Drosophila melanogaster: one gene and its partner. The protein of the gene in region 1 interacts with the protein of each later gene in a biochemical or structural test. Each region holds a gene or a part of one and is shown on either strand. Other genes may lie near its edges. The genes, in order: dpn and dgrn.

Region 1 (5,711 bases):
GCCGAACCCCATGGTTTAGTTGCTGTGGATGTTTTAGTTGGTCAATCGTAGCCGTGGCATTTATTCAATTTACGAAAGTTGACATCGGATCAGTGCTGCAGAGCTTGTGCATGATGGATGATCGCCACAGATTATTGCTCAACACGGGATTTACGCTCAGGCCGCGAGGGATCACTTTGCACAACCAGGGTTGCCAGGCGGCGCAATACGTTTACGATCCCACCCAAAACTCCCCAAATCGGTCCATAGGTAGATCTACGTCAGCTGTCAGCTGGCGCATGGCCCGCGTCAGTGGTTATTGACAACTCCTTTGGTCGTAATCCTGCCAACATCGTAAAGTAATAAATTTGCCTGAAAAAGGAAAATCTGCCGGGGATCGACTATAAAAATTGGCCCAGCCAGGTAAGCTCCGTAATGATTGACCCCGACCCTCAGTCCCAGACCCACGACCGATCCAGGTCCGATTCCGATCCATTGCAAGTCGCGATTCCGTCCCGAAACCCAAGCAACCCCCTAAGACGCTTCTGCCGATGAGCCGACCAGGCAAAAGCGAAGAATTTGAAACTAAGGATTTCGCCTTGCAAGGGGGTTGGGTTGTCACGGGGGTTGCGGCAGCTGCGCCGAACAATTGCCAAGGAGTTCTCCTTAATGAATTGCAAATCATTCGCCGGGCATTGATCAAGTTTGTCCTTGCCAAGGGTGAAATCTGTGCGACTAAATGTGCCATCAGCCAGCCACCCAAAAGGGAAACGGACACAAACGGAACATCTGTCGCAAATAATGCTACTCACTGATAACTTATAGAAAATCTCACTTGATACATTTTTTAAGGAACTAAAGATTTTTTGCTTTGCTTTAGCAAATTTCAAGTACTAAAGAAGAATCGCTGTTAATTCTCTGAATATAGTTCATATTTTTGTTAACTATTGCTTTAATCAATTCATTAAAAGTAATAAGCAAGTAAAAAGTAAAAAAAAGTAAAGTAATAATATTCATAAGATTTATAGTAGCTTTGTATAATTATTGCTAAATATATGAATATTCTAAAACAAATAGATTGGGTATTAAGTCGGCTTCGACACGAATTAGAAGATTAAATTCAGTTATAAATTTTTGTTAAATTGTAATAAACTTTAAATTCATTAATGATATGTTATTGATTTTAATGCTTAATTTCCTTCAAAATTATTTAATATACAATGCTTGCTGTATTTTACAATAAAATCAACTAAATTTTGTGGGTTTCGTCAAGCCAAAGGCTAATGACTTGGCTTAACCGAATGTTGTGTTGTTTCTCGATCAGGCTCGACTTAGTCTCGTTTACTTGAGTTAAGCTCCTATTTTCACTAATCCCCTGGAATCCGCAATTCGTTGACTCGGCAACTCTGCCTGCCTGGGAATACCTACTCAAATACTCACTTAAATCTCACTCCGAGTGTGAACTCATTGGATTTGGGGTGGTTATGCACTCACTCACTCTCCGATTGAGCGCAACTGCGCTGCTGCGGTGAAAAGTTCTCAGTCTGCGGACGGCGATCGTTGGGCTGCCTACCTGCCTCAGCTCTGCCTCTGCCGCTGCCCGCGTCGCCAGGTAAGAGAGTCCCTCGGTTTCACTCGTGGACTCGTTTCGGCTTCGACCCGATTCGTTTTTAGCTGGTGCCCGTGGACTCGGAGGATCAGTATCCTTTTGGCATCTCGCGAGCGCGGTCGTCTGCCGCTCTCCTTTGAATGAACATTTAAAATACTATTCTATACGATTCGATAACCAGAACGATCTTTAACGCGTACCGCTTGTTAAGTTTTTGTTGTTCGGACATTACTAAGAAGTACGTGCAATAATTGTTATAACTATTTTCGTACTCGAACCAAAGTTATTGTGTTGTGAAAAAGACCAAATCGAAATCGAACTATCTTGGATTATCTCCCACTTGGATATACAAATTAAAATCGTTACAAAATGGATTACAAAAACGATATTAATTCCGACGACGATTTCGACTGCTCCAACGGCTATAGCGACAGCTATGGCTCCAATGGACGCATGTCCAATCCCAATGGATTGTCAAAAGCAGAACTTAGAAAGGTGAGTTCGCTCTTTTGCGATGAAATTGGACTCGCAAACTAAAAAATAGCAGAGTTTATTAGCACCCTCGATCGTTTTGAACCTTTTCATTTTAATGGCTTAGAAAATGTAAAGCATTAAATTAATTTTAAAAATCAAGTGAAACCCTTGTTTTATATAAACAAAGATATCCCTTAAACTGAAATAAATTCCTACGAAATAAACTAATTGATTCCCTTTCTTTTCTAGACCAACAAACCGATTATGGAGAAACGTCGCCGAGCTCGCATTAATCACTGCCTCAACGAACTGAAGTCCCTTATCCTGGAGGCGATGAAAAAAGACGTAAGTATCTTGCCCGAGCGTCAAAGCAGAAAAGGAGCGGTCCGCCCGCGAATTAGAAACTAGCCCCCGATCCCTTTTGGTTCACTTTCTTATAAATAATGTTAGTCCACAAAAAAAAACCTTTAAGGCACAAGTGTCCGAAGGGCGGCAGAACTACAAAAGAACAAAAAAATGTATAAAAAACGAACTCCTACGACACAAGAACTGAAAAAAAAAACACAAACCAAGGGCTCTAATTGAGTATTAAATTTTATTGATGATCATTACACTAGAGCGCCGACGAGGAGTCAGTCAAGAGACCAAAAAGTGTTAACAAGTCGAGGAATTACGCAGAAATCGCCGGAGATGCGAACGAAACCAGTTTCCAAGGAGTGATCCTGCTGTGAGAAACTACAAAGCAGAAATCAAGTAAAATTTGCCGCCGCAGAATTCTGCAGGAGAGCCGGACCAAAAATCAAATAAGAAAGACATTGAGGGAAAAAAGCAAAAGTAAACAAAAGGTTCAGACAGGGGAGCGGGGGAGGTTGAGGGGGCGGGGCTGGCGAGCGACCTGCGTGGGAACCTTTTGCTAAAATATGCAGTCCCAGCGGCGAGAAAGGGACGAACAATCGGGGACCGAAGACTGGCGAAGATCGCACTGCGCGAAAAAAGAAGATCAGGAAGAACGATTTGGAATCTTCTGTGCCCAAAAAGTCTTCATATGAGATCACAAACGATAAGATCGGCGAGTAGTTTATTTTAGAACCACTTACTAAAGACAGTCACTTTTCCATCATTAGTATTCACTTGCCAGAAAATTTGACTTTAAGCCCCCTTTTTGCTCAGTGCACAGTAGCAAGATCAGTCGTTCTTCTCGCTGGAGTTGCTGAATCTCACCTTGGTCGTGTGATATTTACAGAGTGGACTCGACTGAAGTGGACTGCAGATTACACGCGAATAGTTGGACATATGAGGCACGAAACGTGCTTCTTAACTTCGCTTTTTCCCAAGCTATTGAACTTGTTGTAGGGCCCCAAACAATTAGCCCGACCATCTCCCACCCCATCCCCATTTCATCATTATCTGACTTTGGTTCCTTCGTCTTCTATACTTTTAGCCGGCTCGTCATACCAAACTGGAGAAGGCCGACATACTTGAGATGACGGTGAAGCATCTGCAGTCGGTGCAGCGCCAGCAGCTCAACATGGCCATCCAATCGGATCCCAGCGTTGTCCAGAAGTTCAAGACGGGATTCGTTGAGTGCGCGGAGGAGGTGAACCGCTATGTAAGCCAAATGGATGGCATCGATACCGGTGTTCGTCAGCGGCTCAGCGCCCATCTTAACCAGTGTGCCAATAGTCTGGAGCAGATCGGTTCGATGAGCAACTTCAGCAATGGATACCGTGGTGGCTTGTTTCCCGCCACAGCTGTCACGGCTGCTCCCACTCCGCTGTTTCCCTCGTTGCCGCAGGACTTGAACAACAACAGCCGCACGGAGTCATCGGCTCCGGCCATCCAAATGGGTGGACTTCAGCTAATTCCCTCCCGCCTGCCCTCGGGAGAGTTTGCCCTCATCATGCCGAACACAGGTTCCGCTGCTCCGCCTCCGGGACCCTTTGCCTGGCCAGGATCTGCAGCGGGAGTCGCAGCTGGAACAGCCAGTGCCGCCTTGGCCAGCATTGCCAATCCCACACATCTAAATGACTATACACAGAGCTTCAGGATGAGCGCGTTCAGCAAACCGGTCAATACCTCAGTTCCGGCCAATCTTCCGGAAAACCTCATCCACACACTGCCCGGCCAAACGCAGCTGCCGGTGAAGAACAGCACAAGCCCACCGCTGAGCCCAATCTCCTCCATCTCCAGCCACTGCGAGGAGTCCCGGGCTGCCTCGCCCACCGTGGATGTGATGAGCAAGCACAGTTTCGCCGGCGTCTTCTCAACTCCGCCACCAACCAGCGCGGAGACCTCCTTCAACACCAGCGGATCCCTCAACTTGAGTGCCGGAAGCCACGACAGCAGCGGATGCTCGCGACCGCTGGCCCACTTGCAGCAACAGCAAGTGAGCTCCACCAGCGGAATCGCCAAGCGCGACAGGGAGGCGGAGGCCGAGTCCAGCGACTGCTCCCTGGACGAGCCCTCGTCCAAGAAATTCCTAGCTGGCGCCATCGAAAAGTCGAGCTCCGCTTGGAGGCCGTGGTAGATCAACCGCACAGGCCACTTCTATGTTACGTTTATACATTGTTAATTTATTTCATTGCAATTTTTTCAAAGATCACTTCAATGCTTTAGAACCCCATTAAGTTTCAACGATTTCTATATGTTTTTATGTATCCCCGTTTCGCTTTCTTCATTTTAAGTTCAGCTGTGATTTTGTATATTTTTTGTGTAGTTCTCGTTTAAGCGCTTTATACGACTATTATGTAGTTCATTAAATAATTATGTTCTTTAATGTTTCATTAACTGCTCAAGTATTTAAACAATTAAACGTGTTTCTATTTAAGTTATGTAGTTTTCATTGTATAGCGTTTATCATTAGGTCATTCACGTTTCTATATTAGTGTTTTAATTTAACGATTGTAATTTTAACTTTTAGGTAATGCAAAATTCGATGGAGTGAAAATAATGATAATAAAAAAAAAATGCTGCAAAAGAAAAATCCATCCAAATTTAATGGTTCCTTGGTTCTTAACTGATTAGAATTGGAAAATTCAAGATCGCATCAACAATCAATAGTACTTGAACTCATTGAAAAGTCGGAAGCTGAATTCAAATCAATACGGAAACAGCCTTATCATGTATGTTCGATGTTTTCGCAAAGTTTGATTGAAAAGATAACTCAATCGAAAGCTCCCAATCCATGCTATATAAGCAATAGGCGGAACACATTTAGTGTGTCAAAAACTAAATTATTGCAATCAAGAGCGCGCAGTGACTTTCAGGCGTGCATTGAAAAATCTCAGAAATTATAAAAACAATTTAATTGAAAAATTTTAATTTTACCATGCCAGGAAATCTGTTTCAAGTGTTACTAACTGTGGCGATCCTGCCAGCTATTAGTTTGGCATCTAGTTCTGAAGATGGTCTGCACCATTACCGTGCTTCTCCAAAGCTCACGGGTCCTGTGAAGCTCCTACACGATCCCGAGGACACCATTCTGAACACCTTGGATGGCGCTCTGGAGAAGATCTCCACCATCTACATGCAGGCCTTGTTCGCTGGTACCCACACCCCGGAACTGGAAGCCCCACTCCGAGCCCTCGAAATCGAGTTGTTCGATCTGCTGGACGAGCTCTATAATCAGAATCGTCTCAAGGACTATATA
Region 2 (4,633 bases), on another chromosome or scaffold:
TATAATTTGCTTGCTTGTGTGAGTAAAAACAAGAGACGAGAACGCGTATAAGTGTGCGTGTTGTGCTAGAAGACGATTTTCGGGCCGAAATCAATTCTGATCGAAGAAACGAATTTACATGGTACATATTAGGGTAGTTTTTGCCAATTTCCTAGCAATATGATAAAATAAAAAATTTTTAAAAATTCGCGCCCTGGCTATTATAATTTTAAAGCTTTTTTAAATTTCTTTGTTAAAATCGCCGCTCGAATTAGCTACCGTTTACACATTTGTATTTATGTTTAATTCTAATTTGTCTCTCATCTGACAATTTTTTAAAACCGAAATATTTTTTTTGAAACACTTTTAATGTTAATGTTACATCATATTAAGTCAAATGATTTAATAAATATACTAAATAATTAAATATGCAATTAAATTAAATTGCAAAAGTAATATCAAAGACAATAGAATTATTCTAGTGTCTTTGCTTTGTTCATATCTTGAGGCACGAAGTGCGGACACAAGCACTCAACAATCATTGCCTTATTAATTTTTCACACGCCGCAAGATGAATACTCTAATGACAAATATTCTTATATAAATTCATTTTTGAAATTTATTTTTGTGATAATATGTACATAGATTTGACTATTTCTAATCTATTTTCAAATAATAATAACGTTAAGGCAATGCAAAACAAGAATTTTTCGCATGGTGCCAATTGATAAAAAATAATATAGATTTAAAGCCAAAGAACTTCTAAGGTGAAGGGCATATTTTGTCAAATTTACAATGCATGTGAATACGTGTGCACACATACAGATGTCTGCTATCACTTTGTGCGTTGAAAAGAGCTGTTCGCTGTAGCGCTCTTCGCTCTCTCGCTCTCTAACAAAAATTCGAGAGAGCCTGGAGCCACCTCTAGAGCCACGGCCAAAAAATCGTGTGCCAAAAAATCGTATGGCGTTACGCATCTTGTTATTCTAGGGTCTTTGGCTGTACCACGTTTACAACTTAGGCAAATCACTAAATAATATAAATATAGGAGCTGTGCTTACAAGGTATGGTCATGTGCTAAGCTTAATCTAGCTATACCTAGACAACAGAAGCGACAACCTTAAGCTATTTTGGGAACGGGTTTTGTCCATTTGTGGAGTCTTAGAAGAGTCGCTTTTGGACGATGTAAAAGACACAGGCGAGGAACAAGGAGAAGGCGAAGAAGAGCAGCATTTTGTCAGTGCACTCGCGTCGTCCGTACTTTTTGAGCAGCTTGCCGGACATGCTAATGCTGCCGGCCGTGTGGTGCAGTTCGTCGCTGGTGGCCTCCACATTTTGCGACGAGGCCACGAGCGTTTCCAGGGTGATGGCGCTCTTCTGGGTGGTCTCCGAGAGGTGCCGCGATATAGCCAGCATCTTCTCGGTCACGTCGTTCTCCTGCGAAACCAGACTGCCCTGGTTGTGCCGCGCCCGTGTTGTGGTTCGTTGGCGTAGCTCACTCTCGCCGGTAATGGCCATTAACTCCTCCCGATTGGCCTTCTCGATCTCCAGCATCGTGGACACGTTTGCTTTTCGGAACGCCTGCAGCGTTTTGGAGAACTGATCACGGTGGTCGTCCACTTCATTGGCCAGCGCAGAGTCTGCCGTGTCCCGCGCCCAGTCGTCCAGCCGCTCGATGCTTTTGCGGATAGCAGACAGTTTGGAGCGGCCCGCTTCGTTCAGCTCCTCGAGTTCGGCGATGGAGGTGCGGCTGTTCAGGATGTCCTAAAAACAGAAGCTCGGTAATGAGGGTTTCTCTTCAGATAGCGGAGACTTACGTGTATTATTGCCTTAGCCTGCAGATTGTTATCGATAAGGTCCTGCCGTATGGCCTGTAATGTAAACGCATCCTTGTCCATGTCTCCAACTTTGTTTTGTTTCGAAAATATTCTATTATTCTGCTTTGGTGACGTGCATTTAACGTTAATTCCCGCAATTTTCTAACACTACCACGGCACGGTATATATCGATGGCATTTAATCGCCTAAAAAATATCGTTTACATAGTGATGGTATGGTTTTGTAATGTCGACATATTTATATACATTTCTTATAATTATTTTGTTATCAAAGAATTTCGCCGAAACGGAAATTTTATTTTTAATAAATTATTGATTTTTATTGAATTACAAGTGTCATTCTAAACAGCATTGTATAATACCGCAAAAATCGATAGTCGATCTTAAATCCTTGTTCCCGAATGTCCGTAAAGTGTCATCTTTAAAATAACCGAATGGTCGCGTGAAAGGAGGAAACTATTTTGCACATTTCAATCTGCACTAAAGCACATGTATATCTGGGTTCACCTGCTTTTGTCTTTACTACGAAATCATTTCACAAGTTTCCTGGTCATTTGTTGCTCGAACAATGTCAGATTCGACTATTTTCCGTTTTGTAAGTATACCCTGGACTTTAAACTAGTTAATTCCGATTTATGATTGATTTATTTAGTAGAACTCATCCATTCTTGATCAGTCAGCGGACAGCAACGTATCCAGTTCGAGCTCCAATTCCAGTGTATCCGACTCTTCTGTGGACTCCCATTCATCCATAGAATCCAATTCGGGACACAATACATCCGTGGAATCTCAGTCATCCGCGGAATCTGATTCATCCGCTGATTCCCATTCGTCCTTGGAACGCCCATCCCCAGTGGAGCGTGATTTATCTGTGGAATCAGACTCATCTTCAGCCACCAATACCAGCGAATCTTCAGTCGGAGAAGCTTCAAACCAACTGCAGTCACCGCAAAGCAATAACCCCTTAAATATGGCTAACTTGTCTGTCTCGACTGAAGATGCTCATTCGCAGATCAGATCACTTACCCAGGATGTGATCCAGATGGAAGCAGAGTTGGATCGCAGTATGTCACTCCATAATCATTACGAAGTTTTCTGTTAATTGTTTCATATTTCAGTGAATCGCTACTGCGAGGAAGTTGTGGCACAGATTGACACCTTCGCCACGAGAACCTCAACGCCAACAACTCGTAGAATTCGCCGCAGAAGTAAGTGCAGATCAAAATGAACGCATCTGGGTTTCACAATGAACAATGTTTTTAATTCCACAATAACCAATGACATAGTTCTTTCTATAACCCTGCCGGGTTACTTACTTTTGAAGGCAAAATTTATCTATATTTTTTAAAATTTTGTGAAAACCAGATAGCTTTCGCGGATAGAGCTAGCAATAAACCGAATACCGTTTCTTACTTTTTCCGTAGCGAGTCCAGTAGAAGTGATAGATCTGTCCCATTTGGACCGTGCACCACCTGTTCGATCCGCTCGGAATCGTGATCCCGATGCTTTCATCGATCTATGCACCCCCGAAGGCCCAAGAAGTCGCACAGTGAATCTTCACTCCAACGACTCCCTCACCATTCTGCCACGTCGGTCAGCCGAAAATGACCCGGTAGTGGATCTCGACGTTGCGTCGCCACCAAAACGCGTTAATCGCGACATTGATGAGTCCCAAAAAGAGGAGTTATACAAGTGCCCCATCTGCATGGACAGTGTATCGAAGCGCGAGCCAGTGTCAACCAAATGTGGACACGTCTTCTGCCGCGAATGCATCGAAACAGCCATCAGAGCTACGCACAAGTGCCCAATATGCAACAAGAAGCTGACCGCACGTCAATTCTTTCGCATTTACTTGTAAGTTGCTTATACTATTTCACATTTTTTGCTCTGTGAGCCTTAATATAATATAGTTTAAAAAAAAACGCTTAACTATGTTAGAGACGGCAAATAATGTCTGTTCTTGTGATTCAGAAAAAATTAGTTATTTAAGTTGTCCTATGTAATCAGTGGCGCCCAAAAATATTTGAATACAACTATAAAAACTAAAGACTTCACTTTTGATGTATGAAACCATCTCAGGCTAGAATAATATAAGAACGACCGAAAGGAGTGTCAAAGTATTATGTAGGCATTTTTCCAAACGCAATTTAACAATGTAACATACATATAATATAATAAATAAAATGGTCCCAACGCATATCAACAGGTTTGTCTCAATCTCATTTTTTATTGTTGGCTACTATTTTTTGAGACAGAAGTCAGACATGGAATTCTGAGATCATTAAAGGGTCGATAAAACAGGATAAATTGGAAACAGGTGGAACATGAAGTGTCTTTAAAGAGACTTTTTCCCTCCAATTTTGTATATATATAACAATATATTTTTTTTTTTTTAAACTTCATTCTATTTATTTTGGTTCCAAAAGGAATCGTTCGGTCAATTCCTCTGAACTTAACCTTATGTGTGTATAAAGGTATATTAGACCAAGTGGTTTCTTAATTATTAAGTACAAAAGGGAAAATGTATCTAGTTATTAATTACTTATTGTGTAAGGGTGTAGGGAGATCGGTGGGGTGTACCCTCTTCAGCCTTCGGAGGGAGATGGGATTAGATAGGCTATTTGCTAGTCGGTTCGGGTGGACCATAAGCCTGTCGGCATAACGGCTGCTGTGAAAATTAATCTGATCCCCAAGAGGGGTAACTTTCAGATCTCTTTCGATTACCTTGTTTGTCACGTACCAGGGGAGCCCAAAAGCACGACGTGCAGCTCTCGACTAGACGACACGGAGCCTATTGAGCTGGGATTTGGCGGCAGT

The links.
Region 2: of the proteins of dpn (region 1) and dgrn, one has a biochemical effect on the other in vitro, tested with the Drosophila melanogaster proteins (one study listed by BioGRID).

The regions. Positions count from the first base shown.
Region 1 is NT_033778.4:8,228,295-8,234,005, reverse strand, and holds dpn (deadpan), read left to right. Parts: upstream 1-1,675; 5' UTR 1,676-1,957; coding exon 1,958-2,083; intron 2,084-2,311; coding exon 2,312-2,407; intron 2,408-2,417; exon of another isoform or gene 2,418-2,902; intron 2,903-2,940; exon of another isoform or gene 2,941-3,503; coding exon 3,504-4,589; 3' UTR 4,590-5,035; downstream 5,036-5,711. Other genes in the region: CG34217 (uncharacterized protein), read left to right, coding at 5,391-5,711. UniProt on the Drosophila melanogaster protein: Transcriptional repressor of genes that require a bHLH protein for their transcription.
Region 2 is NT_033777.3:5,822,565-5,827,197, forward strand, and holds dgrn (degringolade), read left to right. Parts: upstream 1-2,050; 5' UTR 2,051-2,384; coding exon 2,385-2,411; intron 2,412-2,468; exon of another isoform or gene 2,469-2,471; coding exon 2,472-2,880; intron 2,881-2,934; coding exon 2,935-3,024; intron 3,025-3,240; coding exon 3,241-3,674; 3' UTR 3,675-4,012; downstream 4,013-4,633. Other genes in the region: Sec20 (secretory 20), read right to left, coding at 1,141-1,743, 1,797-1,877.